5 linked regions of the Sus scrofa genome follow. The protein of the gene in region 1 binds, or shares a complex with, the protein of each later gene. Links are inferred from orthologs where the notes say so. Each region holds a gene or a part of one and is shown in the gene's direction. Other genes may lie near its edges.

Region 1 (5,282 bases):
TGCCAGACCAACCGCTCAGGAGGGCGACTGTATCTTCAGACACGTGGCTCCAAATTCATCAAATTCCAGGAGATGAAGATGCAAGAACATGTGAGTTTGGGGGATGTGGTCTGGGGCTCAGGGAAGGGGGAGCTTGGGAGTCCGTTTGATTCTTGTAGTCGTTCAGAAGCATAAGAAAGAAAGTAGAACAAAAGGGGAGAGTCGAGGCAGAGAAGTCAGTGAGAGCAGGACGGGGTTTAACTGGAACTTTCTGAGTTGGGAAGAGTTTTAAAAAAAAGCCTAGTTTTCCTCTTGTCAGCTTGCTTGAGGCTAAGCAGACCAAGAAGTGGCCATAGTGTGTATAAGGAGAGAAAGGCAGGCCTCATGGACCCTTCTTCCCCAGAGTGACCAAGTGCCCGTGGGAAACATCCCTCGCAGCATCACAGTGCTGGTGGAAGGAGAGAACACGAGGATCGCCCAGCCTGGGGATCATGTCAGTGTCACCGGTATCTTCTTGCCGATCCTGCGCACCGGGTTCCGACAGGTGGTCCAGGTGAGAAAGTTGAAAATGAGGTGGTGGTTCCTTTTTTCTCATCTCCTCACTCTTTAACAGCCCCACAGAGAAGAGTGACAGCAAGCAACAGAATACCAAACAAAGCAGAACAGAGGGTTCTGTCAGGAACTCCTCAGGGACTCACATGGAAGGGCAAGTTAAAGGCGCTTCATTCATACCCTGGTGTTTTCCTGCTCAAGGGTTTACTCTCAGAAACTTACCTGGAAGCCCATCGGATTGTGAAGATGAGTAAGAGTGAGGATGATGAGTCTGGGGCTGGAGAGTTGAGCAGGGAAGAACTGAGACAAATCGCAGGTGAGGGGTCAGGGGAAAGACTGGGATCCAAATTTCTCCCTAGCAGTTTTTTTCTCCCAGAAAATACTTAGTCTTCTTTTTCCCACAGAGGAGGATTTCTATGAAAAGCTGGCAGCCTCCATTGCCCCGGAAATATACGGCCATGAAGACGTGAAGAAGGCACTGCTGCTCCTGCTGGTGGGAGGGGTGGACCAGTCTCCTCGAGGCATGAAGATCAGGGGTGAGTGGAGGCATTTGGGAGGAAGAAGGGTAAGGACCTTCCAGCGTCCACAGGCCATAGAATAAGCCTGCCTCGGCTTCACGGGCACGGGGGGCATGGGGGGCAGACCTTGAAAGTGTTGTTTTCGGACAACTTGGATTGAAAGAAAAGTCACTCGGGGGCCTCCTTCCTCCAGGCAACATCAACATCTGTCTGATGGGGGATCCTGGAGTGGCCAAGTCTCAGCTCCTGTCTTACATTGATCGCCTGGCCCCCCGCAGTGAGTTCTCAGACCCTGGGAGGCAAGCCCGAGGACAGGAGTAGGACCACCTCGTTCCGTGTTTGTGCTCTTCTGGGAGGGGTTGGGGGGTGGAGATGTGATCAGCGCCACCACGTCGCGGATCTGCAGCTGCCTCGGGCAGGCCTGGCTGGGTCAGCGGAGCGGTCGGGCAGGCCTCGCCTCACTGGCCCCCTTCCTTCTTTCCTTTGCCCTCTTCTTAAACACAGCTGCTAACTTCCTCTCTTCCTGCCCCTTTTGTTCAGGCCAGTACACAACAGGCCGAGGTTCCTCGGGAGTGGGGCTCACGGCCGCCGTGCTGAGAGACTCCGTGAGTGGAGAGCTGACCTTGGAGGGTGGCGCCCTCGTGCTGGCCGACCAGGGCGTCTGCTGCATTGATGAGTTTGACAAGATGGCGGAAGCTGACCGCACAGCCATCCACGAGGTCATGGAGCAGCAAACCATCTCCATTGCCAAGGCAGGCATTCTCACAACACTTAATGCCCGCTGCTCTATCCTGGCTGCTGCCAACCCTGCCTACGGACGCTACAACCCTCGCCGGAGCCTGGAGCAGAACATACAGCTTCCTGCGGCTCTGCTCTCCCGATTTGACCTCCTCTGGCTAATCCAGGACCGGCCTGACCGAGACAATGACTTGAGGTGAATATTCGCAGCACAACAGCCAAGGAGCCACCCCTCAGTTACACCCTCTGGGGGCGGGGGAATATTCGCAGCACAACAGCCAAGGAGCCACCCCTCAGTTACACCCTCTGGGGGCGGGGGATTGGAAACCTCCTCGTCAGCCCATGGAAACTGGAGCATTTCCCTCTTGCAGAAGGGGCTGGTCCAGTTCTCAGGGTGGGTCAGGGTTGAAATGCAGATGATCATTTTCTGAGAAAGTTTGTCTCTGCTGGGCTGTGACACACAGAGCTGAGAGAGTAAGATGTAGGCTTGGGGTACAGTGCGGATCACCGAAAAAAGTGTTCATACTTGCCTCCCCTCTTCCAGGTTGGCCCAGCACATCACCTACGTGCACCAGCACAGCCGGCAGCCCCCTGCCCAGTTTGAACCTTTGGATATGAAGCTTATGAGGTAGGAGAGCTGGGTGAGGACTGGTGTCGTTCCCCACTCGCTGTGTGTGTGGCAGTGTGTGCATCTCTCTCTGTCCTGGGGTTCCCCTGCTTGGCCACAGGAGACCATCGCATAGAGCTTGCCTTTCCTACCACTTGCATCACCTACCTGTCTCAGGGCTGAGAGGGGTTCAGATTTTAGGCAAAGCTGGATCCTGCTGCATGGATATTTTTCTTTTGGGAGCCACACCCATAGTATATGGAAGTGCTTGAGACCAAATCCCAAGCCACAGCTGTGGCAACACACCGCAAGGGGCTGGGAATCAGACCTGTGTCTCCACAGACACAACAGATCATTTCACCTGCTGCACCACTGTGGGAACTTGGGATACTTGATAGCACTGTTTTCTCCACAGAGTCTGCCCAAGAGCTCTAGGTATTTTATCTATTTTCCTGAAGTTAACATGTGACATGGCTAAAGGAGAGGACTTCACCATCTCTTAAGACAGGTGGATTTGTCTTACGCAAAAACCATTTTCCTTTGGGCCCTTCCTGACTTTTGTCTCTGGCTGACAGTGCCAGCCCCACACTGCGGATGTTTGGCAGGAGGGGCAGGGCCTAATTTTAAGTTGGGAGTAATTTGAAATGTGACACTTGGAGAAACGAGTGATTTTTAAGCAAGCAACATTAATTTGTTTTTCCTACTTATAAGTACATCTACCCCCAAGAGTTTTCTTAAAGGTAAAACTTAATACGGAAAAAACACACCCTGCCATCTCTCCTTTCCCACAGGCGTTACATAGCCATGTGCCGGGAGAAGCAGCCCACCGTGCCCGAGTCCCTGGCTGACTACATCACCGCCGCATACGTGGAGATGCGGCGAGAGGCCTGGGCTAGTAAGGATGCCACGTACACTTCCGCCCGGACCCTGCTGGCTATCCTGCGACTGTCCACGGCGCTGGTGAGTGCCGTCTCTCTTGCACTGGAGGATGGTCTGTTTGGGCTCTTACTGGGCAGCCTGCCTTAACGCACCCTCGCTGCCTCCTCCCTCCCTCCCAGGCCCTGCCGGGGCTAAAGTGCTGACAGTGCAGATAGTGGTCCTCTCCGTGCTACCGCACTGTGGGTACTTGCTGCTCCAGCAGGGCACGCACAGCGTCCTGGAGGGAAAGGCCTTCTCCCTGCTTCTCAGACCTCACCGAGGAGGCGGGTGGGGTTCACTTCACTCCCTGTGTCCTAGATCCTGTGCTAGAAACCCACCCTCACCTTGGACCTTAGTCCTGGGGGCTCCAAAGTGCTGTTCGTGCAGGTAGTGTGATAACCTAACCTACTGCTGAGCTAGCACTTCCCGAGCCCCAGGGGCGCAACCTCTGCCCATCGCCTTCTTGGCTGAGCTCCCAAGCTCCATCTGTCATGGTGGGGAGCCCAGTGGAGTTCCGAAGGGTCTGGTCTCCCTCACAGGACAGCTGAACACCGGGACTGGCCAGTGTTGAGAGGCGGAGACTTGGGCAATTGCTGGACGCTGCCCTGGGCATTGCACTTGTCTCGGTCTGACAGTGCCGGCCCCACACTGCGGATGTTTGGCGGGAGGGGCAGAGCCTCTACGCATTTATGAGCGGGAACATGTGGGTTGCCAATCTTAAAACTGGAGTCGGGGGGGGGTGTCCCTGACTTTGTTCCATCACCTCCTCCGTTCCCATCTCTCCCTACCTTCCCCTTAGGCGCGTCTGCGGATGGTGGACACTGTGGAGAAGGAAGACGTGAACGAAGCCATAAGGCTGATGGAGATGTCCAAGGACTCGCTTCTGGGTGACAAGGGCCAGACAGCTAGGTGAGTGGCTTAGTGCAGGATGTCCGGAGTTGCCTTGACCTTGAGTAGAACAGTTATCCTGTGACTTCTGCATCCCATATCTGTGATGCTGGTCTCAGGTCTTTAGACCCCTAACACTGACCACCGCTGTTCAGATACTGGCTGTTCTGGTTACACCCTGGCCTTACACACCCATGCTTGTTTCCTCCAGGACTCAGAGACCGGCAGATGTGATATTTGCCACTGTCCGTGAGTTGGTTTCAGAGGGCCGAAGTGTCCGATTTTCTGAGGCAGAGCAGCGCTGCATATCTCGGGGCTTCACACCTGCTCAGTTCCAGGCAGCCCTAGATGAGTATGAGGAGCTAAACGTCTGGCAGGTCAATACCGCCCGGACCCGGATCACTTTTGTCTGATTCCGACCTCTTGAGACACTGGGGTCTGTCTACTGGGCTTACCGTGCTAACCCCCCTTCCTTTAAAGGCCTAATGATGCCCTGGGGGGTGGGGAGAGGCCCAGCTGCACTTGTATTCATTCCTTTTGCTAATAAAGTGTGTAGATTTGCTGCCTTCTGTTAAAACAGAATTTTGCAAGTTTTCAAGATTCACCTTACTCATAGTTGTCTTACCCAGCCACTTAGTCTCAAAAAAAGGTATGGCCACTAGTACCTCTGCCTCCTAGGGTTCAGGCATGTATCACACTGTAGGGAGCACACAAGGCTGCAGTAAGAGAGAAGCCACCCCTTGGCAATACGGTGCCCGCAGGGTCAAGGCCTCAAGATCCAAGATGAGAGACCTGTGTGGTACCTAACAGAGAGGACAGAGCCACCAGAAGGGGTGCTGAGGGGCTGCTCCCCTTTATTAGTGACTGGTTTCTCTAAAGGGAGTAGAGCACCCCTCCCCTTGACAGTTGTCCGACCCTGGTGCATCACCCCTTCAAGTACCCTCTTGTCAGAAGAAGAGCCCCCGCATCCGCCTGCCGATGCCTTGTCGGTCATAGAGGACGTTGAACTTGTTCACGAACTGGTTCATGGTATTGCACGTTTTGGTGATGGTGCCTAGGTAGGCCATGAGTCCCACGTCATT
Region 2 (5,953 bases), on another chromosome or scaffold:
GTGGCACATGGAGGTTCCCAGGTTAGGGGTGGAATTGGAGCTGCAGCTGCTGGCCTATACCACAGCCCCAGCCAGCCGGGTCCAAACTTCATCTTCCACCTACACCACAGCCCATGGCAATGCTGGATCCTTAACCCCCTTGAGCTGGGCCAGGGATCAAACAGGCATCCTCATGGATCATAGTTGGATTCGTTAATGGCTGAGCCACAAAGGGAACTCCCAAAACACTCTTCTTGATTCCGTTCCTCAGCTACTTTCGTGATACTTTAACAAATACATAGTTTGTCCTAATGGGAGCAGACAAGAAGAGTTCCCCAAGACCCAGTCTCCTTTCCTTGCAAATAAATGGTCTTCACAGGGTCTCTTGGAAATTGCCTCCTCTTCCTTATTATTTTTTTTAATAATGTCATCTAAGAGAATCACTGTAATGTGGAGAATACTGATTTGACAGCAAAACAGTTGGGGAGGAATATTTGAGGTTGGGAAATGTATCTTAAATATGGCCTCCTGGAACCCAACCTAAGTTACCTGCAAGAGCAGCTTTGCCCTGGTTCCAGAGTTTTAGAAGCTTAAAGGATGCTTTTTAAAAAATACTTGGAGGAGTTCCCGATGTGGTGCATTGGGTTAAGAATCCAACTACAGCGGCTCGAGCAGCTGCAGAGGCGCAGGTTTGATCCCTAGCCCAGGAACCTCCACATGCCGAGGGTGCAGCCCCAAAGATTTAAAAAATTAAGAAAAAATACTTGGAAGATTTCTGCTTTGATAATACTATTTTATAGTGGATTTTTTTTAAAAATGATGATTATGAAAATAGTACTTGTCTCTTGTAACTAAACTATATAGAACTATAATAAACTAAAAAATGAAAACTGTGCATCCAGTACCACCCCCCAACAACAACAAAAAAAATCCCATTTTCCAGAGGTAAGCAGTGTTAAAGGTTTATTGTTTCCATACCTCTTCACAGTGTGAGTGTATTTTCAATGTTATTTATTGTATAATACATAACATTTTGAAGTTTCACGGATTGTATTTTAGTTGATGAATTTTATAGATGGGAGGGCTTCTTTCTTGGTACCCTTTTTCTAAGTTTTGTTTTCTTTGTTTTCTGAAAGATTCCTCATGTATCATTCTCCGAATCTGATATTCCATCCTCAGAAAGTACTGAGTTACCTGTGGACTGGAGTATTAAAACTCGACTCCTTTTTACCTCTTCTCAACCCTTTACCTGGGCAGATCATTTGAAAGCACAGGAAGAGGCTCAAGGTGTCATCCAGCATTGTAGGGCAACAGAAGTCACTTTGCCTCAAAGTATTCAGGTAACTGAAAGAAAACAGCCATGTTTTATTTTTTATTTTTTTAAAGAGTTTTATTTTTTCTGTTATAGTTGGTTTTCAATGTTCTGTTAATTTCTGCTGTATAGCAGAGTGACCCAGTCATACATAGAGGTAGTCATTCTTTTTCTCACATTATCCTCTATCATGTTCCATCACAAGGAAAACAGCTGTGTTTTAAAGTAACAATTTAAGGGAGTTCCTGTTGTGGCGCAGTGGTTAACGAATCCAACTGGGAACCATGAGGTTTCGGGTTCGATCCCTGGCCTTGATCCGGCGTTGCCATTAGCTGTAGTGTAGGTTGCAGATGCGGCTCAGATCCCGCATTGCTGTGGCTCTGGCGTAGGCCAGTGGCTACAGCTCCAATTAGCCCCCTTGCCTGGGAACCTCCATATGCCGCAGGAGTGGCCCTAGAAAAGGCAAAAAGACCAAAAAAAAAAAAAAGTTAAAAAAAAAGTAACAAATTAAGTGTACAGTGTACTTCTCTGCGAAACAGCAGAGATATTTCTTTCCATTAAGTTTTTCTGTTGACATTTAAAAACACAGGAACTTGGAAAATATTTTATTTCCCAAATGATGCTTTCATACAGTTTCAAAAATCAGATTCAATAGCTGCCCGTTAAATTTATAGACCTGTTGTGAGTATTATTCATTGTTGGCAGGCAAGAGTTGCTTGAACTAAACCATTGTTTTCTAAGGCCTTTTGAGAAAGAAAATGAAAATGAAAAAGAAATGAAAAGAATGAAAAATGAAAAAGAAATGAAAAGCAATTGAGGAATAGGATTGCAAAAACTGATTGGTTATTTTACTGATTTTCTCACATAATGTATATGTATTTTTTTAACACACTAATTCTTATGACCTGGGTGATAGTCTGTTGTAAATTTAGAGTCAGTGAGCTAGATCTAGGATGGTTTTATTTTATTCTATTTTTGCTTTTAGGACCGCACCTGCAGCATATGGAAGTTTCCTGGCTAGGGGGTCAAATCGGGGCTACAGCTGCTGGCCACAGCCACAGCAGTGTGGGATCCGAGCCATGTCTGCAAACTATCCCACAGCTCGTGGCAATGCCAGATCCTTAACCCACAGAGCAAGGCCGTGGATCAAACCCACATCCTCATGGATACTAGTGGGGCCCGTTACCACTGAGCTACAACGGGAACTTCCTAGAATGGTTTTAAAGTAATATAATTGCATTACTTTCAGGCAGCTCATCACCTCAAATTAACTTAAAAGAGATTTTCCGAAAGAGGGCCTGGTATGTCTTTTTCAATAAATAGATGGGGATGATTGGTGATTCACAGTATCGGGTTTTACTGGCTCCTTTTGAAACAATGTAGTGAGGGAAGGGGGTTGAACATAGTGTTACCTACACACATACCCCCCCAAACACACACTATTGCCCTCCTGATAAAAAGAGGCAGTCATTGTTAAGAGGATGGTAGAGGCAGGCAAGTATTCCGTCTATGTCTGAGTGCTCCTTCTGATATGTGGTTTAACAGACTAATTGCTGGCAAGTAAGGCCCCTTTTCCTAAACAATAATAAATTACATTTTAGCCCCTGTAACAGTTATTAACGTGTTCCTATAGGAAGCAGCAAAGATTCTGAGAATAGTGTTTGGTGTATTCAGTGTCTTTTTAATTAAATTCTCTGTTACTAATGGGGCAAAAACTGTCCAATATCCTCCCTGGATTTTAGGATCCCAAACTCTGCACTGAGCTCCGTTGCGCCTTCCAGCAGAGCCTTATTTATTGGATCCACCCTGCCTTCCCATGGCTCCCACTGTTCCCTCGTATTGGAGCTGACAGAAAAATGGCTGGAAAGGCAAACCCTTGGTCAAATGATGAAACCCTGCAACACAATTTACTGAGTGACTGGTAAGATTAGTTAAAAAAAAAAAAAAAAAAAAAACCCAAAAACTTGTGCAACCAAAGAGTGAATTTTCATTTTAGCAGTGTTCTCTTCTTATTTATGACTTAGAGGTGTGTAGTAGTAGAGGGAATTATTTTATTTAAACTGTTAATAACCAGCATGTAAGTTATTTACTTTTTCAGCCCTTATTCTCTCACTCTTTATGTAGTTCTGGCATGTATATAAGTGTGTGTTAAATATGTAGGCGTAATTCCTCTTTTTTTTTTTTTGGCTTTTTAGGGCCACACTTGCGGCTTATGGAAGTTCCCAGGCTGGCGGTTGAATCAGCCGGAGCTACCAGCCTGCAGCACAGCCACGGCAACGTCAGATCCAAGCCACGTCTGTGACCTACATCGCAGCTCATGGCATTGTCGGATCCTTAACCCACTGAGCGACCCCAGGGATCAAACCTGCATCCTCATGGATACAGTCGGATGTGTTACTACTGAGCCATGATCAGAACTCCAAGGATCTTTTCTTAACCTGGGTGCTGATCATCAGTGTATTCAGTTTGTGAAAATTCACAGAGTGATAAACTTATGACTTGTGCTATGTAGTTATAGTTAAATAAAAAGTTCACAGCATTTCAAAAAAAGAAATTTTTAAGTCATCAGTGAGTCCCATGACCAATTTCAGTCCTTTAAAAAGCCAAGTTCTGTGTCATGGCAAAAAGTCAAACCATTGTCTGTAATATTTGTGTTTTAAATCAGACATCAGATTAAATTATGCAAAATTAAATTTTAGATGTTAAGTTAAATATTTAGTAATACTTAAAAATTTTTTGCTTCATAGGTCTGTGAGCTTAACTTCTCTATATAATCTGCTGAAGACAAAACTTTGCCCCTATTTCTACGTTTGTACCTATCAGTTTACTATCCTGTTCCGTGCAGCAGGATTAGCAGGAAATGATGTCATGACAGCCCTTATATCTCCTACCACTAGAGGTATCAGAGAAGCTATGAAAACCGAAGGTAAAACTATACATTTAAAGTGAAAATACCACACTATATAGTAAACACTTTCCTTAAAAGCTAAAATTTGAAATGTCTTTTACTAGTTTTATCTAATTATTTTAAGAATTAGTTTTTTGGCATTTAATTAAGCTGTCCTTTATACATAGCTTTAAGGTAGCGATGTTCCTTCTCCAATCTTCAAACATAGATTGAGCTGGAAAATCCTAATCTGCATATGCTCCTATAGAAATTTTTTTATAGTACAAATAACCTCTCCCCTTTCAATAACATGGTCTTTAAACTGGGTCAACTCATTAGTGGATTATGAAATCTACTTAGTGTGCTTATTCAACACTTTAAAAAAAATGAAAGTGAGAAGAATATACTTGATGAAAGGGTACCACCTGTCGTGAGAATGTGTATTGTTTCCTAAAAACCTTGTGTTTCAAGGAGATATGTGTGTGTCGTGAGCTGCTGTCAAGACAGTATGAAAGTGATCTGCTTTAATAGATCAAGTGTAAAAACTCATTTTTTTTCTTTTTTTTTTTTTTTTTTCTTACCTTTTCTAGGGCCGGTCCCGCAGCATATGGAGCTTCCCAGGCTAGGGGTCTAATCAGCTGCAGCCCCCGGCCTACGCCAGAGCCACAGCATCTTGGGATCCGAGCCTTGTCTGCAACCTACACCACAGCTCACGGCAATGCCAGATCCTTACTTAACCCACTGAGCAAGGCCAGGGATCTAACCTGCAACTTCATGTGTCTAGTCGGATTCGTTAACCACTGAGCCACAAAGGGAACTCATTAAAACTCATTTTTAAATATCGTATTCTCCCAGCACGCTTATTAAATTCTTCTAGGTTATGTTAAAACTCAGTTACATTTTTCTTTCCTCGTGTAGGTATTGAATTTTCTCTGCCTTTAATAAAAGAAAATGGCCATGAGAAGAAGGAGGCATCTGGAACAGGCTTAGGACATGGGGAGTATGTGCTTAAAACAACCTTTTCACATCATCTGGTGACTTAATGGATTCAGTAGTTTTGAAAAAGAAACATCTTTATGAAATGCAGACCCTAACTAACTATAGAAATTTCCTAGGGGGCAAGCAGTCAGCGATGAGGATGAAGAAGAAAGTTTTTCCTGGCTGGAAGAGATGGGTGTGCAAGATAAAATTAAAAAACCAGATGTACTTTCTATCAAGCTGTATCCTTTCGGTTGCCGTTAACCAGAATTGACTTTCATTGAATTAAGTTAGTGAGCAATGTAATAGTAACTGGCAGTTTTGTTAGACTGTAATCTCAAATTAGCTTTAAAATCATATGAAAAAGGATTCTCCATCATGACATTAAAAAGACAAATCCCTAAAAAAACAAACAAATCCTTAAGTACCAATAAACCACAAACAATTATTAAACTATTTTTTTTTTTACATGAAAAAAATTGTTTTGGTTCAGTTGGGGGAATGGAACATATTTTTGACAAGAGAAGAAATTAGTTTTTGTAGGTATCTATTTCTAGCAAATTCAAAATGGTCATAAATCATTTTGATTTATACAGATGCCTTATAATTACAGTCAAAAGGACTGGTAAGGGCATTTCCAGTTTGGGATGAAAAAAAGTGTCAGGTGATTCAGGATTAAGGTAGCGCTTTTCTTGTTAGTGTGGGACTTGCGTGTGCAATTCCTTGATTGTCATCTTCAGGCGTAAAGAGAAACATGAAGTACAGATGGATCACAGACCCGAGTCTGTTGTGTTGGT
Region 3 (5,953 bases), on another chromosome or scaffold:
CTGGATCAGAGGTGAGGTATTCATATGTCAACCTGGAGAGGTCTGCCTACGATATGAGGTTTCATTTTTGGCCTCGTTAGATAGTATTTTCATCAGTCACTTGGACATAGACCTCAATAGCATGCTAGTAAGATTCGTGGAACACACAGAACAGGAGCATTTTCTAGTTATTGTGTTTGATAGGTACAGTTGGAATGAGGAACCGAACTGCAACAGGTCTGCAGCAAATGTAAGGGAAATATAAAGTCCTGAACTCAGGTTCCCAAGCCATTCATGTGTTCATTCAACAAGTATGTACTAAGCAATTATGAGCTAACAAGCGGATCTGGTGTTTGTTTTTGTCTTTTTAGGGCCGCACCCATAGCATATGAAGGTTTCCAGGCTAGGGGTCTAATTGGAGAAGTAGCCGCCGGCCTACACCACAGCCACAGCAACACCAGATCTGAGCCACGTGTGCCCCCTACACTGTGGCTTACAGCAACACTGGATCCGTGACCCGCTGAGCGAGGCCAGGGATTGAACCCACAACCTCATGGTTCCTAGTTGGATTCATTTCTGCTGCGCCACAATGGGAACTCTGGATCTGGTGTTTCAATCGTAAACAGCATAATCAAGATTTCTGCCCCTATAGCCCTCACAGTGTAATGCAGAAGGCAGATATACACCAAATTGGAATACAAGCTAAGAAGGAAAACAACACCAGGAGAGAGAATAATGAATTGAAAATATTAGTAGACAAAAGAATCAGGGATGTTCTCTCCAAGGAAGAGACACTTCAGCTGGGGCCTGAAGGAGAAGCAGATTTTAGTGAGGCAATCATTGTGGACAGACAGTATTCTAGGTGGAGGAAACAGCATATACAGAGGCCCAGAGTCATGGAAGCATGGGATGCTCAGGGAATGATCCTTAAAGAAGGCCAGTGTGGCTGAAGTTTAGTGAGTAGGCAAAGGGTGACACCAGGGGAGATCAAGCACGTGAGGCAGGTGATGGCAGGTTTGTGTTTTAAAAGACCATCCTGGCTACTATGTGAGTAGTGGACAGAGTGGCTGAGAGGAGAGGGAGGTGTGCTGGACATGCTAGTGACAGGAGAGGTGAGCCGACCAGGGAAAAAGTGAACAGGTTCCAGACATATTTAGGAGGTAGCCTAACAGGCCTTTGTCTGGTAAGGGAATGATTTTCCTGTATTCATACCATTTGGAAATTCATGATCCAAGTTCTGTGCCCTACCCCCCTAGTTTCTTTCTAGGGGGGCAATCACTATTACCACTATTTCTACTTAGAATTATTTGTCAAACGAAATCTATTCCTATTTAATTACACATGTATAAATGTGAATTTTTTTTCAGAAAGTTCTTATATACTCAGTAAGGTACTCTGATGTTAGATTGGGTGTATTTTATTTTATTTTATTTTTTGTCTTTTCGCCTTTTCTAGGGCTGCACCCAAGGCATATGGAGGTTCCCAGGCTAGGGGTCGAATCGGAGCTGTAGCCGCCGGCCTACGCCAGAGCCACAGCAACACCAGATCCGAGCCTCGTCTGTGACCTACACCATAGCTCATGGCAACACTGGATCCTTATCTCACTGAGCAAGGTGATCGAACCTGAAACCGCATAGTTCCTAGTCGGATTCGTTAACCACCGAGCCACGATGGGAACTCCAGGTTGGGTGTATTTTATTTGTACTATTTCTTTATAACCCAACATTCATAGAGTGGCAGAAGTGTCTAGAACAGATCTAGAAGATGTGATGAGATGGGACATAGGTTTTGCCTCTGTTTTCAGGGCCTGGAGCAGGCACATGCATTTTGTATTCATCTGGTTCCTTTTAAAACTCCAAAGTAGGAGTTCCCGTTATGGCTCAGTAGGTTAAGAACTCAACCTAGTCTTTGTGAGCATGTGTGTTCGATCCCTGGCCTTGCTCATTGGGTTCGGGATCTGGCATTGCCGCAAACTCCAGTATAGGATCTGATGTGGCTGTGGCTATGGCCTGCAGCTGCAGCTTCAATTCTACCCCTGGCCTGGGAACTTCCATATGCTGTAGCGGGGCCATAAAAAGGAAAAAAAAACCCTCCAAAGTAGATTCTTACTCATTCTGCACATCTGGCTTTGTTCCCCCTCCCTTTTTTATTGTGGAAAATATACATTACATAGAATTTGCCACCTTAACTTTTTTTTTTTTTTTGTCTTTTTAGGGCTGCACCCGTGGGATATGGAGGTTTCCAGGCTAGGCGTCGAATAGCAGCTATAGCTGTGGGCCTACACCTCAGCCAAGGCAACTTGGGATCCAAGCCACATCTGCAAAGCTATGCCATAGCTCACAGCAATGCTGCATCCTTGGCCCACTAAGGCCAGGGATGGAACCTGTGCCTTCATGGATACTAGTCAGGTTTGTTCCCACTGAGCCACGATGGGAACTCCTGTACATCTGTTTCTTTTTCTTTCTTTTTTTTTTTTTTACTGCACCCATAGCATATGGAAGTTCCCAGGCCAGGGATCAAACTGATGCTGCCACAAAGACAATGCCGGATCATTAACCCCCTGTGCCACAGTGGGGTCTCCTATCTGGTTTTAAAATATGATACTTGGAGTTCCTGCTGTGGTGCAGAAGAAACGAATCCAACCATGAGGTTGCAGGTTTGATTCCTGACCTCAATCAGTGGGTTAAAGATCCAGTGTTGCTGTGAGCTGTGGTGTAGGTCACAGATGAGGTTCAGATCCTACATTGCTATGGCTGTGGTGTAGGTTGGCAGCTATAGCTCTGATTTGCCCCTAGCCTGGGATCCTCCATATGCCGCAGGTGCGGCCCTAAAAAGCAAATAAATAAATAAATAAATAAATAAATAAATAAATAAATAAATAAAATGTGATGCTTGTCTAATATCTACGGAGATGTCTATTTCATAGGGTAAAACCAAAATTTTCTCCCTCTTTATGTAAAGGACCCTGAAGTACAGAACATACACGTAGTTGAAGATCAGGAAATATTTGTTAGGAGTTCCTGTCGTGGCCCAGTGGTTAACAAACCCGACTAGTATCCATGAGGACACAGTTTCATTGCTGTGAGCTGTGGTGTAGGTCGCAGATGTGGGTCAGATCCCACGTTGCTGTGGCTATGGTGTAGGCTGCCAGCTACAGCTCCGACTCAACCCCTAGTCTGGGAACTTCCATATGCTGTGGGTGCAGCCCTTAAAAAAAGAAAAAAAGAAAAATTTGTTGGTTGAGTGGAGGACCATTTGAGTCTAGAATTCTTAGCTCACTTTCTTAGAATGAAGATTTGGAAGTATCACGAAAAGAGGACTCCATAGAATGAGAACGAGATAGGAGGAGTTCCCGTTGTGGCACATCGGAAACGAATCCCACTAGGAATCATGAGGTTGCGGGTTTGATCCCTGGCCTCGCTCAGTGGGTTAAGTATCTGGCGTTGTTGTGAGCTGTGATGTAGGCCAGCAGCTACAGCTCCAATTTGACCCCTAGCCTGGGAACCTCCATATGCCACAGGTGCAGCCCTAAAAAGACAAAAGAAAAAAAAAAAAACCAAACAAGACATGAGGCTGTAATCTTAGGCACCATGATACTTGCTCTCTTATCCCAGCTTAAAAAAGAGATACCCAGAAAGTGAAGAAACATGATGCTTATCTTTTGGAGACAAAGATTAATCAGTGTGAAAACACAAAGTGCCACATGGCTAAACAGGTCCTAGGCAAATTAGTTAGATTTGGCTTTTTTATCTTTTAGTGTGTTAGCAGAAGCTCTGATGTGGAGGCAGTTGCTGTTTGTGTAGGTTAACCTACACATAAGTGGATGAAAACAAGCATGGAGTCAGTTGTCAGTGGGCTTTGAAAATTCTACTTATACTGAATTAGATATTCATTTCCTCCTTAAATGTTTTACCAGGAATGAAGCGAAGTCAGGTGGACGAAGTGATTTGATACCAACCATCAAGTTTCGACACTGTTCTTTGTTGAGAAACCAGCGCTGCACTATAGCATACTTGTGAGTGTCTCTGTTTGCTGGGGTGCCATGTGGTTTCCTAATTAAACATTTCAGGTGGGGAACAAATTCTTACATTTGTCTTTTTTTTTTTTAAGCTTTTTAGGGCCACACCTGTAGCATATGGAGTTTCCCAGGGCTACAGCCTCCAGCCTATGCCACAGTCACAGCAACGAGGGATCCGAGCCGCATCTGCAACCTACACCATAGCTCATGGCAATGCCAGATCCTTAACCCACTGAGTGAGGCCAGTGATCAAACCTGCAACTTCATGGTTACCAGTCAGATTTGTTTCTGCTGTGCCACAGCAGGAAGTCCTCTTAGATTTGTCTTTTATAAGCATTCTAAATTCTTCTCTTTTTTCCATTTAAACTTTTTTTTTGAATGGCCACCCCCATGGCATATGGAAGTTCCTGGGCCAGGGATTGGATCTGAGCCACAGCTGTGACCTGTGCCTTAGTTGTGGCAGTGCTGGCTCCTTTAACCCACTGCCCTGGGCTGGGGATCAAACCCTGTGCCTCCAAAACAACCCAAGCTGCTGCAGTTGGATTCTTAACCCACTGCGCCACAGCGGGAACTCCCATTTAAACACTTTTTATTGTGAAAAATTACAGTATTCGTAGAACTGGGAAATATTATTACAGATCCCCATGAAGCCATCATATAGGTTTAATAGTTCTTAACATTTTGCCATAACTGCTTCATCTTGTTTTGTCTGCTAAACCACTGTAGAACTTTGGGCATTTTACCACTGAATATTTTAGTATGCATCTCCAAGAAATAAGGACCTATGGACTTTTCTCATAGGACCATTGTGCCATTATCATTCCTAGAGAAATGAACATGCCTGCACAGCATCTGTCCAGTCTGTATGCCTGTTTTCCCCATTGCCCCAAAGATGTCACATGACATGACAAGTGGTTTGTCTGCCTCAGGAGCCAAATAAAATTCCGCGTTACATTTCAGTGGTTGTGAGTCTTGAGTCTCTCCTGATCAAAACAACTTCTGATATCCCTTCTGTTATGCCATCTAATACCTTGTTAACGTCCTAGGTATGACCGATTGCTTCGGATTAGAGCACTCAGGTGGGAGTATGGCAGTGTCTTGCCAAATGCTTTACGATTTCACATGTCTGCTGAAGAAGTAAGTTATAAGTTAGCACTGTTGTTCAAGCTTATGAATTTGGAAACTGGCTGAGGTTCTGGCATTGTTGTGTAATAGTATCTACAGTGTTTCTCACATTTGTTTTTCAGTAGTTTTAGGTCTTTAGTTTATACTGAGAAAGAATGGCAGGAATAATCCTAAATAATATATGGAAAACTCTTATCAAAATAAAGGGTCTCGGAGAGTTCCTGTCCTGGCTCAACAAACCCAACTAGTATCCATGAGGATGCTAGTTCAATCCCTGGCCTTGCTCCAGTGGGTTAATGATCCAGTGTTGCTGTGAGCTGTGGTGTAGGTCACAGACTCAGCTTGGATCCTGAGTTGCTGTGGCTGTGGTGTAGGCTAGCAGCTACAGCTCTGATTTGACCCCTAGCATGGGAACCTCCATATGCTGTGGGTGCAGCCCCAAAAAGACCAATAACAAAAAAAAGAAAGACAAATATAGGATCTCATTATGTTACTTGTTATTGATCCATCAGTAGGATTAAAAAAACAGGCATTGTTGGAGTTCCCGTCGTGGCGCAGTGGTTAACGAATCCGACTAGGAACCATGAGGTTGCGGGTTCGGTCCCTGCCCTTGCTCAGTGGGTTAACGATCTGGCGTTGCCGTGAGCTGTGGTGTAGATTGCAGACACGGCTCGGATCCCGCGTTGCTGTGGCTCTGGCGTAGGCCGGTGGCTACAGCTCCGATTCGACCCCTAGCCTGGGAATCTCCATATGCCGTGGGAGCGGCCCAAGAAATAGCAGCAACAACAACAACAACAACAACAAAAAAAGACAAAAGACAAAAGACAAAAA
Region 4 (5,953 bases), on another chromosome or scaffold:
CAAGTTCTGGTCTTTGTCTTCTGATCTTTGATTTCTAAGAGCTCTTTCTTTTTACTACAAGCTTCAGGGGTACAGCATTATAGTCCAACATCTGCACACACTGCAAAGTGCTCACCACCCCAAGTCTAGTACCAGCCGCCACCATATGGTAGATCCCGGTTCCCTTCACCCTCGTCCCTGCCCCCCACCCCCACCCCCCGCCCCAGTAGCAGATCTCTGTATCCATGAGTTTGTGTTTATTTTCTCTGTTCATTTGTTATGTGCAGATTCCACATATAAGTGGTATATGATTTCTGTCTTTCTCTGTCTGGCTTATCTCACCTGTATGGTGATCTCTAGGTCCACCATGTTGCTGTAAATTGCATTATTTCTGTGGCTGAGTAGTATCCCATTGCATAAATACACGACATATTCTTTATTCATATCTCTGTTGATGGACATTTAGATTGCTTCCATGTCTTAGGTATTGTGAATAGTGCTGCAGTGAATACAGGGATGCATGTATCTTTTCAAATCATGGTTTTCTTAGGTAAATGCCCAGGAGCGATATTGCTGGATCATATGGTAGCTTTATTTTTAGTTTTTTTGGCCAGGCCAGGGATCGAACCACACCTCTGCAGCAACCTGAGCGGTCGGATTCTTAACACACTGCACCACCGCGGGAATTTTATTTTTAGTTTTTTAAGGGACTTCGGTACTGTTTTCCAGAGTGGTTGTACCAATTTACATTCCCACCAACAGTGCAGGAGAGTTCCCTCTTCTCCACACCCTCTCCAGCATTTGTTATTTATAGACTTTTTGATGATGGCCATTCTCCCTGGAGTGAAGTAGTTTTGATTTGCATTTGCATTTCTCTAATAATTAGTGATGTTGAACATTTTTTCATGTGCTTGTTGGTCATCTGTCTGTCTTCTTTGGAGAAATGTCTGTTTTAGTTTTCTGCCCATTTTTTTACTTGTTTGGTTTTTTGCTAGTGAGCTGTGTGAGCCCTCCTGCCCAGGCTTGGGGTCCCACAGTGTCCCACAGCCACAAGGGAAGGGGACAGGACCCTACTGTGCGCTCTGGGGAGGGTCAAAGAATCCTTGGACCGTGGGGGTTTTGTTAATCAGCTTTACTGACATTTAACTTCTACACAATAAATTTCTCTAGGTCTAATCTGATGAGATTTGACAATGTGTAAAGTCATGTCACGACAGAGAACAGAAGAGTTCCATCACCCTCCAAAAGTTCCCTCAGGACCATGGCTTGCCTTTTTGCGGGGGGGGGACACCTGAAGCACATGGAGGTTCCCAGGCTAGGGATTGAATTGGAGCTGCAGCTCCCGGCCTAAACCACAGCCACAGCAACGCCAGATCCGAGCCAAGTCTGAGACCTATACCACAGCAACACTGGATCCTTAACCCACTGAGCGAGACCAGGGATCGAACCCACAACCTCATGGTTCCTAGTCGGATTCGTTTCCGCTGCGCCACAACGAGAACACCTCCTTGCCCTTTTTTTTTTTTTGTCTTTTCTAAGGCCTCATGCGCAGCATATGGAGGTTCCCAGGCTAGGGGTCCAATCGGAGCTGTAGCCACCGGCCTACACCAGAGCCACAGTGACACTGGATCTGAGCCGTGTCTGTGACCTACACCACAACTCACAGCAACACTGGATCCTTAACCCACTGAGCAGGTCCAGGGATCGAGCCCAAATCCTTATGGATACTAGTCATGTTCGCTAACCACTGAGCTATGACGGGAACTCCAAGTTGCTTCCCTTTTGTTTCTGAGTTTGTTCCATGGTGTGGACCCACCTCGGTTTGTTTAGCCATATACTCCCTGACGGGCATCTGGGCTATCTCATTTCCGGCTATTGTGAAGAGAGCTGCTATAAACATTTGTGTGCAGGTTTGTGTGAACATGAATCTTCATTTCCCTGGAATGGATGACTAAGAGTGCATTTGTTGGCTTCTGTGGTAGTTAATATGTTCAGTTTTTTAAGAAGCTGCCAAACTTTCCCAGAGTGTCTGTACCATGTTACCTTCTGACCAGCAATCTGTGATGACCCAGTTTCTCCCTGAGGAGTGTGGCTCCTTCTTAGCACTGGGCACCATACCTGCCCTCTGACCCCACCCTGGTGGGAGGTAGGGAGGGGCACTGGGCCTTTGCTGTGGTGGATGGGGTGGGACCATGGTGTTTCTGGTGGTGGTGCAGTTAGAGTTGAGCAGTTATCCTCTAAAAGTTTTCTCTTTCAAGGCCGGTCCTTCCTGGTTCTTTGGCTTTTGTTGGGGATTTTTTCTTCTATCGGTGTTTCTGTGTGGCCAGCTTCTCTGGAATATATGAACAAAAAGGAAAACTCTGGGAACTCCCTACTGTGACATTCCCAGGTCCTGGGACCCTTGGCTGGTCAGCCTTCCTCTCCACCTTTCAGACTCTTTTCTTTTTTTAAATATGCACTACCAGGATTTCTAGGTACATTTAGTGTATGAATAGAGACAAATACATCTACCTATCCTTCTACAAGCAGAAGTCTAGAGACTACAGATTTTAAAACTGCGCCCTCACCTGTGCCTTTATTGTGGGAAGAGAAAGAGGTTGTGCCTGTAAAATTAGAATAGTTGCTGGAAACAGTGGGGTTAGGATGTGAGGAATAGGAGCGCTCTCTTTTTTTTTTTTTTTTTGCTTTTTAGGGCTGCACCTGCAGTATATGGAGGTTCCCAGGCTAGGGGTCGAATTGGAGCTGTAGCTGCCAGCCACAGCCACAGCAATGCAGCTCCGCTGCATCTGTGACCTACACTGCAGCTCATGGCAACACCAGATCCTTAACCCACTGAGCAAGGCCAGGGATCAAACCCACATCCTCATGGATCCTGGTCAGGTTCATTACCGCTGAGCCATGACAGGAACTCCCCGTGAGTTCTTTCTAACATGGTGGGAAAGCGGGGACGTGGCAGCTGTGGGCTTTTTGTGGCTCACATGGTACTGGGACAGTGGATCTGGGGTGTCACCTAAGCAGATGCTGGGGAAGCGTCCAATCCCATCCACAGTGGCCACGGGGCTGAGGGGCCCTGCCGTCCCACCAGGGGCAGGCTGTACCCTCAGTGGCTTCTGACAAATTGGATCCTTCTCAGCCAAACTCCTTGGCTCACCTTTTGTTCTCTTTGTCCTATATCAGGAAATCGTGGAGCGAACCATGAAGAGGAGGCAACGAAGAGAGTGGGAGGCCCGCAGGTGAGGGTCCTTCCATCAGCAGCCCTGCCTGCGGGACAGCTGGGGGTGGGGGGTGGGGTGAGTATCACTGATATGCCTGGCTTTTCCTTGGGGGCTTTGTGCATTTTTTTTTTCCATTTTAGGATAATGTGTTGAGTTTAGAGCCTTTGGGCCAGTGTCTCTAGGACTGAGCATGTGGCCCCTGCATTGGGGAAAAGCTCAGGGACCCTCCATGTCACCTTCATGTCCCATGAGTGATGGGCTGGGCTCAAGAGCTCCCAACACCTGCCATCTGTTAGGGATGACAGCCCTGGTCCCTCGTTTTAATAGTTTTCTAAATCTAGATACTTTTCTTTACAAATTCAATAGATGGAATTGTATGAAACTCCTCATAGAAAAAAAATTGAAAAGAAAACTAAGCTATCCATAGTTCCTCTTCATATTGCAAGTTAAAAAACTCAAGTGCTTTAAATGAAAATGTTGGAGAGGATACTCTAGCTCAAGGTGAACATGCAGCAGTGCGCTTGCTGGGAATTCCCTGCTAATTGCATCCCTATAAGGCCTCGTGGGTGTCTGAGTGTCCAGCCCCTGCCCTGCTGCTCCATCTAAGGGCGTGCCCCTGTCAGCCCCACTTGGGGAGGCTGGTTGTAAAATCATTTGGGGAAGTGCAGGAAAGAAAAGTGAATATAATCCATTTTCACTAATAGGAAGAGGTTCCAGCTTTGGATTGATCTGCCCGGGGTTGTCTGTGCTTGTGCACGTTTTACATCATCACACCTAATTTTGCACTTTTCCACGTAATAGAACCATAGTTCGGAAATCTCCACAGGCCTTTGTAAAGTGCACGGTGCCGAACTGGCCTTCCCCTTCTTTGTGAGCTGGAGGTTGCTTTCAGTGTTCTGCGGTGACTGTCAGGCTGAAGCAAACAACCTTGCACACCGCGAGGCCTGTCTGGCTTGTCCCTTTGAACTGCTGTCTTGCCTTAACTTCTTGTGGGGAGTGGAATCTGGGACTGTGCCATTTTACATCTTTGGTAGCCACACAAGGTTTGTGCCCCGGTCACTCCCTTCCCAATGCTGTACACTTTCAGTCCTTGGAAGAGTCAATAAGTGAAAACAAATGATTTCGTTTGGGTTTCTTTGAGTATCGTCCATTCTAGCATTTTTCCCACTGTTTGTTTTCCTATTCTGCTTCCTGTTGAAGACCTACTTTTGTGTCTTTACAGAAGAGACATCCTTTTTGACTACGAACAGTACGAATACCACGGGACGTCAGTAAGTCCAGATCCCGGGATTCACTGCCATGTCCGGACTCTAGGGGGCACTGTCCTAAAAGAGGAGGAGGAATCAGCAGAGGTTTTAGAGCCCCCGAGGACTGGTTTAAATCCAAGCCTGCAGCTTCCACCCTGTGGCCTGAGGGGAGGATCTGCTCTTAGCCTCTCCTCCTGGGAAAAAGGGAGATAGCAGGCCTCACTTCAAAGGCAGTTGTTGGGATGGCCTCTCACACTCAGAGGTGCTCAGGGAACAGCAGCCACTCTTTCTGTTCATCATCAAAAAACAGAACGAGCCTGCGCTGATTTCTGTGCAAGAAGATGAAACTTGATTTGTGTGTTAGGATTTTCATCAGAAAACCCAGTGGGTTGATTCTTGTGCTGCTGAGCAGAGCTCAGGGCCTTAAGGGGACCTAGAAAGTGGTTCTAGTAAAAATCCTGTATTTAGTCTCAGAATTTGACCTGGGGCCTTGGCCTCTGAGCAGGTACTTCAGAACCCCTTTTGAGATTGGTTTGCCCTTGGCGGGAGGATTCTGAGCTGTAGGTGGGTTCACGGGTGGAAACAGATGCATGGCTGGGAAGCTCTCTTGGAAACCAGTTTCCTTGGAGATGCTGAAGTCAGGCCAGTGTCTCACTGCAGACAGGGCTTTAGGGTCTCCTGGTCGGACGCTGATCTCCTGGTCTCCTTCTGGAACCCAGACCATCTTCTCAGAGGAGGCTGGACGCTTCCATTTATAGACCGCCCTGTCGGGAGACCTCTTTACAGGGACCTGGGCCTGGGAGTGTGGGTCTGGCCCTGCCATGAGCTCGGCCACTTTGGCCTCAGGCTTCTCTTCCTTGCAGTCGGCCATGTTGATGTTCGACCTGGCGTGGATGATGTCTAAGGACCTGAGCGACATGCTGTGGTGCGTGGCCCCAGTCGGGGCACAACTTTCTCTGCATAGCCCTGTCCTCCCACACCAGGTGAAATCTGGTGTAGGGGTAACCATTGGCCCACCTCTGAGTCTGCCACACTCAGCGCACTGTGGCATCTGAAGGTGGGTTGACTGGGGACTGAACCTGCAGAGCCTGAGCCAGGGGCAGTAGTTCTGGCCCTCCCAGCCCTCTGCCCTGGGTCCCAATTTTCTCCTCTGCAAGGTGACAGTCTGGTGAGGTTCCTGGCCCTGACCACCTCCAGTGGGGACTGTGACAGTCTGTGTTGAGTCAGAGCCCCAAAATGGCAGGGGGCTGGGACAGGGCCTGGCACTGGCCACGCCAAGGCCCAAAGGTGCTGTCACCCTGTGCCAGAGAGGGTAGCCTGCAGCCAGGCGAGTCAGGACGCAGGTGTGGGGGCCTGCTGCCCTTGTCATAGGGGATCTCCCTCCTGGGTACTGAGCATGCCCACAGTGGTGACAACCCAGTGGGAGCCCGGTCACCTGTCTGCTCCGCAGGGTGAGACTGCTGGTCTGATAGAGTGTCTGGGTCAGGTCACACAGTACCACCTGCCCTGTTC
Region 5 (5,953 bases), on another chromosome or scaffold:
TTCTTTTTCCTCCAAATACTTTTCTTTTATCAGCTGTTCTGTATGTTTACTGCTTCCCTAAAATCACTTCTGGGATACTTCTTTTAGTCAGAGCAGCCATGGTTTATTGGGCATTTCCTGTGTGCCAGAGTTGTTTATAGTTGTTTTCTCATGAAGTCTTGATGGTTTCAGAGTTCAGACTGCCTCTATTTTTTGCTCGGGGCCTCACGCATCAGCATGTGGAAGTTCTAGGACAGGGATCAAACCCGAGCCATAGCGGTGACAACACTGAATCCTAACCACTGGGCTACCAGGGAACTCCCCGGCTGCTTGTATATTTTTTTTCCCCCAGACTACCTGTGTTTAAATCTCTGCCTGCCACTCGTCTGTTTTACAACTTAGGCAAGTTGGACAGTTTGTCTGCAGCACTTTCTCAGCTGTCAAGTGGAGTTAATAATGGTAGCCTCGCAGAGTTGTTGTGAGGATTAAACGAGATAACATGTGGGAAGTGCTCAGAGTGCTGTCTGATGCATGCTGAGCACTCGCTGGGTGTTAGCTGCGAGTGGTAATAGTCCTTACAGCAGCCCATCGGGGCAGGTATTACCTCCATTTTACAAATGAGGACACTGAGGCTTCGAGATTAACACACATAACTGGCCAAGGTCATGCACTGGCAGCAGAGCCAGGATATGAACCCGGTCTCTGATCCACTGCAGTCACTGCTTTTTCTTTCCCACTTTAACTGCCCCTTTGCAGAACTCTCTCATGTTTGTTGCTTTAGCATTATTTATTTTTTTCTTTTTTTGTCTTTTTAGGGCCATACTTGTGGCATATGGAGGTTCCCAGGCTAGGGGTCTAATCAGAGCTGTAGCCGCTGGCCTATGCCAGAGCCACAGCAACGCCACATCCGAGCCCCGTCTGCGACCTACACCACAGTTCACGGCAATGCCAGATCCTTAACCCAATGAGCGAGGCCAGGGATCGAAACCGCAACCTCATGGTTCCTAGTTGGATTCATTTCTGCTGTGCCACAACGGGAACTCCCAAGCTTTAGCATTCTTTGTGCTCTCCTACCCTAAATGCCATCATGAGTGACAAAACCCAAGAAGGTAATTTTGAAATTATATTTTCTATGAGAATTCTGACCATATTGCAGTGAATTCTTAATTTGTTTTTATATCAGAGCTTTTTTTTTTTTTTTTTTTAATCTTTTGAGAGACACGCCCATGGCATATGGAAGTTCCCAGGCTGTGGGTCAAATCGGAGCTACAGCTGCCCACCTACACCACAGCCACAGCAACTTGGGATCCGAGCCACGTCTGTGACCTTCACCACAGCTCATGGCAACACCGGATCCTTAACCCGTCGAATGAGGCCAGGGATTGAACCTACATCCTCGTGGATACTAGTCAAATTCGCAACCCGCTGAGCCACAGTGGGAACTCCTTGTGTGTATTTTTGTACCTATTGAATAAAAAGGAAATAAAAATTCCTGCTTTATAAGTCCTCTGATAATTTGATCTTTTTTTCACAAATTCTGCTCCTTGAAAATACAGGACGTCTCAGAGTTCCCACTGTGGTACAGTGGGTTAAGAATCTGACTGCAGCAGGCCAGGTCACTGTGGAGGTGCAGGTTCAGTCCCTGGCCTGGGAACTAACTAACATGCAGCCATAAAAAAGAAAGAAAATACAAGATGGTCTTTCTGGTTAATTCTATATATCTGCAATACTATTATAAAATTTTGAGCACCTGGAAAAAATGATAGTAGCAATACCTGATACTTAATAACATGTCCAGATGGTGATGTTGGAGAAGCAGAGATGCAAGGATGTCAGAAGGAATAAATGGAGGCTGCTTGGCCTGTAATTCTGAGCTATGCTAAAGCGAAATCCCCTGTGATTGCAAGATTTCCTCAGTCCCCTGTTTTAGTTCCCTAAGCCTTGATAATTTCTGAAAGGTACCAAGTGTCTGGACCTGAATCATAAATGAGGAATTGACCGTCTCATTCCCAAACTCTGTAGTGGCAGAATTTCCATATCTATTGTGACCTTTTATACTCTTGGACTAACAACTTCATCTCCGTTTCTCATGAGTAAGGTACAAATAACCGTACCCACTTCTCAGATGAGTATAATGATGAGTAGGAAAGCGTGAAGTGCTCTGAGCTTCAGTAAGAGACTGTAGATTTACCACGTCTCCTCCCAGAATAGAGGGGTGCTGGTGCCCCTGGTGGACAGTAGCAGGAAGAGTAGAAAGGTGCTGCTTCTTGGTAAAGCGCACCCTCTGGCTACCAGGTAGGGTTATTCTTAGCAGGAGGTATGCTGCCAACATTTCAAAGTGAATGGTGATTTTTTTTTTTTTTCCTGATAATGCTGGTTGAATAAAAGGTCGTGAACACAGCCCGCCCACTAAAAGAAATTAAAAAGCCATCATTAAACATAGCTAAATATAGTTAAACATTTCCCGTTGTGGCTAGGTAGGTAAAGAACCCAACTAATATCCATGAGGATGCGGGTTCAATCCCTGGCCTTGCTCAGTGGGTTAGGAATCCAACATTAGGAGTTCCTGTCGTGGCTCAGTGGTTAACGAATCCGACTAGGAACCATGAGGTTGCGGGTTCAATCCCTGGCCTTGCTCAGAGGGTTAAGGATCCGGTGTTGCCGTGAGCTGTGGTGTAGGTTGCAGACACGGCTCAGATCCCGTGTTGCTGTGGCTGTGGTGTAGGCTGGTGGCTACAACTCCGATTTGACCCCTAGCCTGGGAACCTCCATATGTCAAGGGAGTGGCCCTGGCAAAGGCAAAGATTAAAAAAAAAAAAAAAAGAATCCAGCATTGCCATGAGCTGGGGTTGTGGGTCACAGACGTATCTTGGATCCCTTGTTGCTGTGGCTGTGGTGTAGGCCGGCAGCTGCAGCCCCAATTCGACCCCTAGCCTGGGAACTTCCATATGCCACAGGTTCGGCCACAAAAAAACAAAAACAAAAGCATAACTTGTTTTCAAAGCATTTCCAGTATTTCCATCTGGTCAGCAGTCATCTTTGCTGAAGGAGCTGTGATTTGGGATGAGTGCACTAACTCACAGGGTTATTTCGCTCCATTGTGAGTAATGCTCTTTCGTTGGGGGTGGGGGGGGTGGCATTGTTTTTTCAGGCCTGGATGAATGAAAAGTTTGCACCTGAGCTGCTGGAAAACAAGTCTGAAATCGTAGAGTGTGTCATGGAACAGCTGGATCACATGGTAAGAGGTGCCTGTCTCGGGTCAAAGGACAACTCTAGGAGGGATGTTGGCAGAGTGAGAGAGGTCGTGCTCTGAGAGCAAACCTGTTTGGCCCAGCCTAGTTTTGTTTTAAACACTGAATGAGTTATCTACGTTTACAAAGCGTGAGAGCCCCTGGGAACATCTGAGTGTTGGCTTCCCATGAAATCCCCATGGATATAGGCTTCTCAAAACCTGTTCACACCACTCCCGTGTCTGTACATGAGAACAGCTGAGCAGAGCAGGGTAAGGGCCACCCTTTCAGGTGCCCCCCAATGCCCCAGGCCCTGGGCGCCCACCTTCCTCCGCTGTACCTCACCCTCCTGGCCCCGTGGCCTCTGAGTTTGTTGCCTTTGGCTTAGATGAGCCCGGCTTTGGTCACTGTCAGCCTCAGGGTAGCTGTTTTACAGTTTCTTGGCTAATGTTTTCACACTACTTTTAACATCCTTAAAGGAGTTCCCATTGTTGCTCAATGGGTTAAGAACCCAACTAGTATCCATGAGGATGTGGGCTCAACCCCTGGCCTCGCTCAGTGAGTTAAGAATTCAGTGTTGGAGTTCCTGTCGTGGCACAGTGGTTAATGAATCTGACTAGGAACCATGAGGTTGCAGGTTCGATCCCTGGCCTCGCTCAGTGGGTTAAGGATCTGGGGTTGCTGTGAGCTGTGGTGTAGGTCGCAGATGCGGCTCGGATCTGGCATTGCTATGGCTGTGGCATAGGTGGTGGCTACAGCTCTGATTAGACCCCTAGCCTGGGAACCTCCATATGCCACGGGAAGTGGTCCTAGAAAAGGCAAAAAGAAAAAAAAAAAAAAAAAAAAAAAAAGAATCTGGTGTTGCTAAGAGCTGTGGTGTAGGTCACAGATGCCATTTGGATCCTGTGTGGCTGTGGCTGTGGTGTAGGCCTGCAACTGTAGCTCCAATTCAGTCCCTAGCCTGGGAACCTCCGTATTCCTTGGGTGCTGCCATAAAACAAATGAAAAAGACCCTTCAGATCTTTCTTCTGTTCTGCTGTGTTATCTCCTTTACAGTTGAGTTGTTCTTCTGGGCCCTTCTGACCACCCAGATTCAGATTCTACTCAAATGGTCATTTTCTACAAGCAAAAGAGTACTGTTTGCACTTTTTGCAACAAGACTGTAGTCGTGTATAACTGTGTGATTAAGAAACTAAAATGAGAGCCCTTACAAGTTGCTTTGTCCTGACCGCATGTGGCTTCACCACTGCCAACAGTGATGGTCCTTGTGGGCCTCGTGCAGTGAACAAAAAAAGTGCTTAGCCTTTGACGCTCCTATGCTCATGCTTTTTTACAGACTTCATGTTCTCTGTTTTTGTTCTGTTTGTTTGTTTTGCTTTTTAGGGCCACACCTGCAGCATATAGAGGTTCCTAGGCTAGGGGTCACAATGGAGCAGCAGCCACCACCCTTCGCCACAGCCACAGCAGCACAGGATCGGAGCCGAGACTGCGACCTACACCACAGCTCACAACACTGGATCCTTAACCTACTGAGCAAGGCCAGGGATTGAACCCACATCCTCATGGATCCTCATCAGAATCGTTAACTGATGAGCCACGAAGGGAGCGCCCCTCATGTTCTCTGTTAATAGGAGGAAAATCTCAGGAGAGCCAAGAAGGGGGACCTGAAGGTCAGCATCCATCAGATGGAGATGGAGAGGATCCGCTTTGTCCTGAGCAGCTACCTGCGGTGTCGGCTCATGAAGGTTTGCCAAGGGCTCCCTGCAGCCCATCCTAGGGAGGAGCTGGGAGGGTGCAGCCTGGAGATGCCCTGGGGCCCCACAGCGGGGGGCCAAAGTGAGGAGGGCCAGACATCGTTCCTGGGTGTCACCCACATCGCAGATCCAGGGACGGTGTTAGTCTGACTGCTGCTCGATGGCGCCCCATGGAGTGGCCCTGTGGCAGCATTATGGGTGGAATTTGCATTGGTAGAACAAAGAATACTGAAGAAGGGAACTAGATGGTTTGGGGGTTTTTTGTTTGGGTTTTTTTTTGGGGGGGGGCATGCCTGTGGCATGCAGAAATTTCCAGGCCAGGGATCAAACCACAGCACCACAGCAGTGCCCATGCCAGACCTTTAATCCCCTGGCCACCAGGAAACTCCCAAGGAGAACTAGTTTTAAGAACTCTTTTGCATCTGTCATTCAGTCAGTGTCAAGTGCACCACAATAATGACATTTAACGCAGTCTCTGCGGCCACCTAACTTATAAAAATGAAACTGCAAGACATCCTGATTTTGTATCGTGTCTCTTTTAATCCTGGAACGTTCTTACTTCTTTGAAGCTGCTTCTCCTTTGGTTCCACTTGTCCTCTGAGTTATTACAAAGCAAACACATTTGCTTCTTTAACAATATGGGTCTGAACTGCATGGTCCACCTGTAGGCAGAATTTTTTCACTTGAATCTGCGGTCACAGGACTTTGGATGCAGGGGCCAACAGTAAAGTTATTCACAGGCTTTGACTGTACAGGGTTGAAGGTGCCCCCCCCACCCCGCAACCCCAGAGGCATTCAGGGATCACCCGTACCCTCTTCCACGTGAGAGCGCCGCAGAGATCTGACAGCAGCTCCCCGGGCTCATCAGAGTCCTCTAGCTGAACATTTCGGCCTTTATTTTCTCCTCTTCTCTTCCCTGAAAAGGTTTGTCCACAATCTTCCTAAATTATCCCACCCTCAATGGAGCACAGAATTCTCACTGTCATTTGG

What was found.
Region 2: MCM7 (region 1) and DONSON share a complex: the UniProt entries of both Homo sapiens proteins name them as parts of the replisome complex. The link is inferred for Sus scrofa from reciprocal best matches to the Homo sapiens genes MCM7 and DONSON.
Region 3: MCM7 (region 1) and GINS1 share a complex: the UniProt entries of both Homo sapiens proteins name them as parts of the CMG helicase complex. The link is inferred for Sus scrofa from reciprocal best matches to the Homo sapiens genes MCM7 and GINS1.
Region 4: MCM7 (region 1) and CDC45 share a complex: the UniProt entries of both Homo sapiens proteins name them as parts of the CMG helicase complex. The link is inferred for Sus scrofa from reciprocal best matches to the Homo sapiens genes MCM7 and CDC45.
Region 5: MCM7 (region 1) and GINS4 share a complex: the UniProt entries of both Homo sapiens proteins name them as parts of the CMG helicase complex. The link is inferred for Sus scrofa from reciprocal best matches to the Homo sapiens genes MCM7 and GINS4.

What each region holds. Positions count from the first base shown.
Region 1 is NC_010445.4:8,005,390-8,010,671, reverse strand, and holds the end of MCM7 (DNA replication licensing factor MCM7), read left to right. Parts: coding exon 1-90; intron 91-382; coding exon 383-532; intron 533-732; coding exon 733-847; intron 848-935; coding exon 936-1,067; intron 1,068-1,242; coding exon 1,243-1,326; intron 1,327-1,589; coding exon 1,590-1,983; intron 1,984-2,331; coding exon 2,332-2,415; intron 2,416-3,185; coding exon 3,186-3,354; intron 3,355-4,111; coding exon 4,112-4,221; intron 4,222-4,411; coding exon 4,412-4,613; 3' UTR 4,614-4,782; downstream 4,783-5,282. Other genes in the region: COPS6 (COP9 signalosome complex subunit 6), read right to left, coding at 5,148-5,282. UniProt on the Homo sapiens protein: Acts as a component of the MCM2-7 complex (MCM complex) which is the replicative helicase essential for 'once per cell cycle' DNA replication initiation and elongation in eukaryotic cells.
Region 2 is NC_010455.5:197,196,172-197,202,124, reverse strand, and holds part of DONSON (protein downstream neighbor of Son), read left to right. Parts: intron 1-1,115; coding exon 1,116-1,319; intron 1,320-3,033; coding exon 3,034-3,212; intron 3,213-4,038; coding exon 4,039-4,217; intron 4,218-5,096; coding exon 5,097-5,178; intron 5,179-5,293; coding exon 5,294-5,398; intron 5,399-5,896; coding exon 5,897-5,953. UniProt on the Homo sapiens protein: Replisome component that maintains genome stability by protecting stalled or damaged replication forks.
Region 3 is NC_010459.5:31,065,364-31,071,316, forward strand, and holds part of GINS1 (DNA replication complex GINS protein PSF1), read left to right. Parts: intron 1-3,895; coding exon 3,896-3,994; intron 3,995-5,043; coding exon 5,044-5,134; intron 5,135-5,953. UniProt on the Homo sapiens protein: Required for correct functioning of the GINS complex, a complex that plays an essential role in the initiation of DNA replication, and progression of DNA replication forks.
Region 4 is NC_010456.5:51,137,979-51,143,931, forward strand, and holds part of CDC45 (cell division control protein 45 homolog), read left to right. Parts: intron 1-3,153; coding exon 3,154-3,212; intron 3,213-4,416; coding exon 4,417-4,465; intron 4,466-5,304; coding exon 5,305-5,366; intron 5,367-5,953. UniProt on the Homo sapiens protein: Required for initiation of chromosomal DNA replication. Core component of CDC45-MCM-GINS (CMG) helicase, the molecular machine that unwinds template DNA during replication, and around which the replisome is built.
Region 5 is NC_010459.5:10,658,400-10,664,352, forward strand, and holds part of GINS4 (DNA replication complex GINS protein SLD5), read left to right. Parts: intron 1-3,130; coding exon 3,131-3,217; intron 3,218-4,840; coding exon 4,841-4,954; intron 4,955-5,953. UniProt on the Homo sapiens protein: Required for correct functioning of the GINS complex, a complex that plays an essential role in the initiation of DNA replication, and progression of DNA replication forks.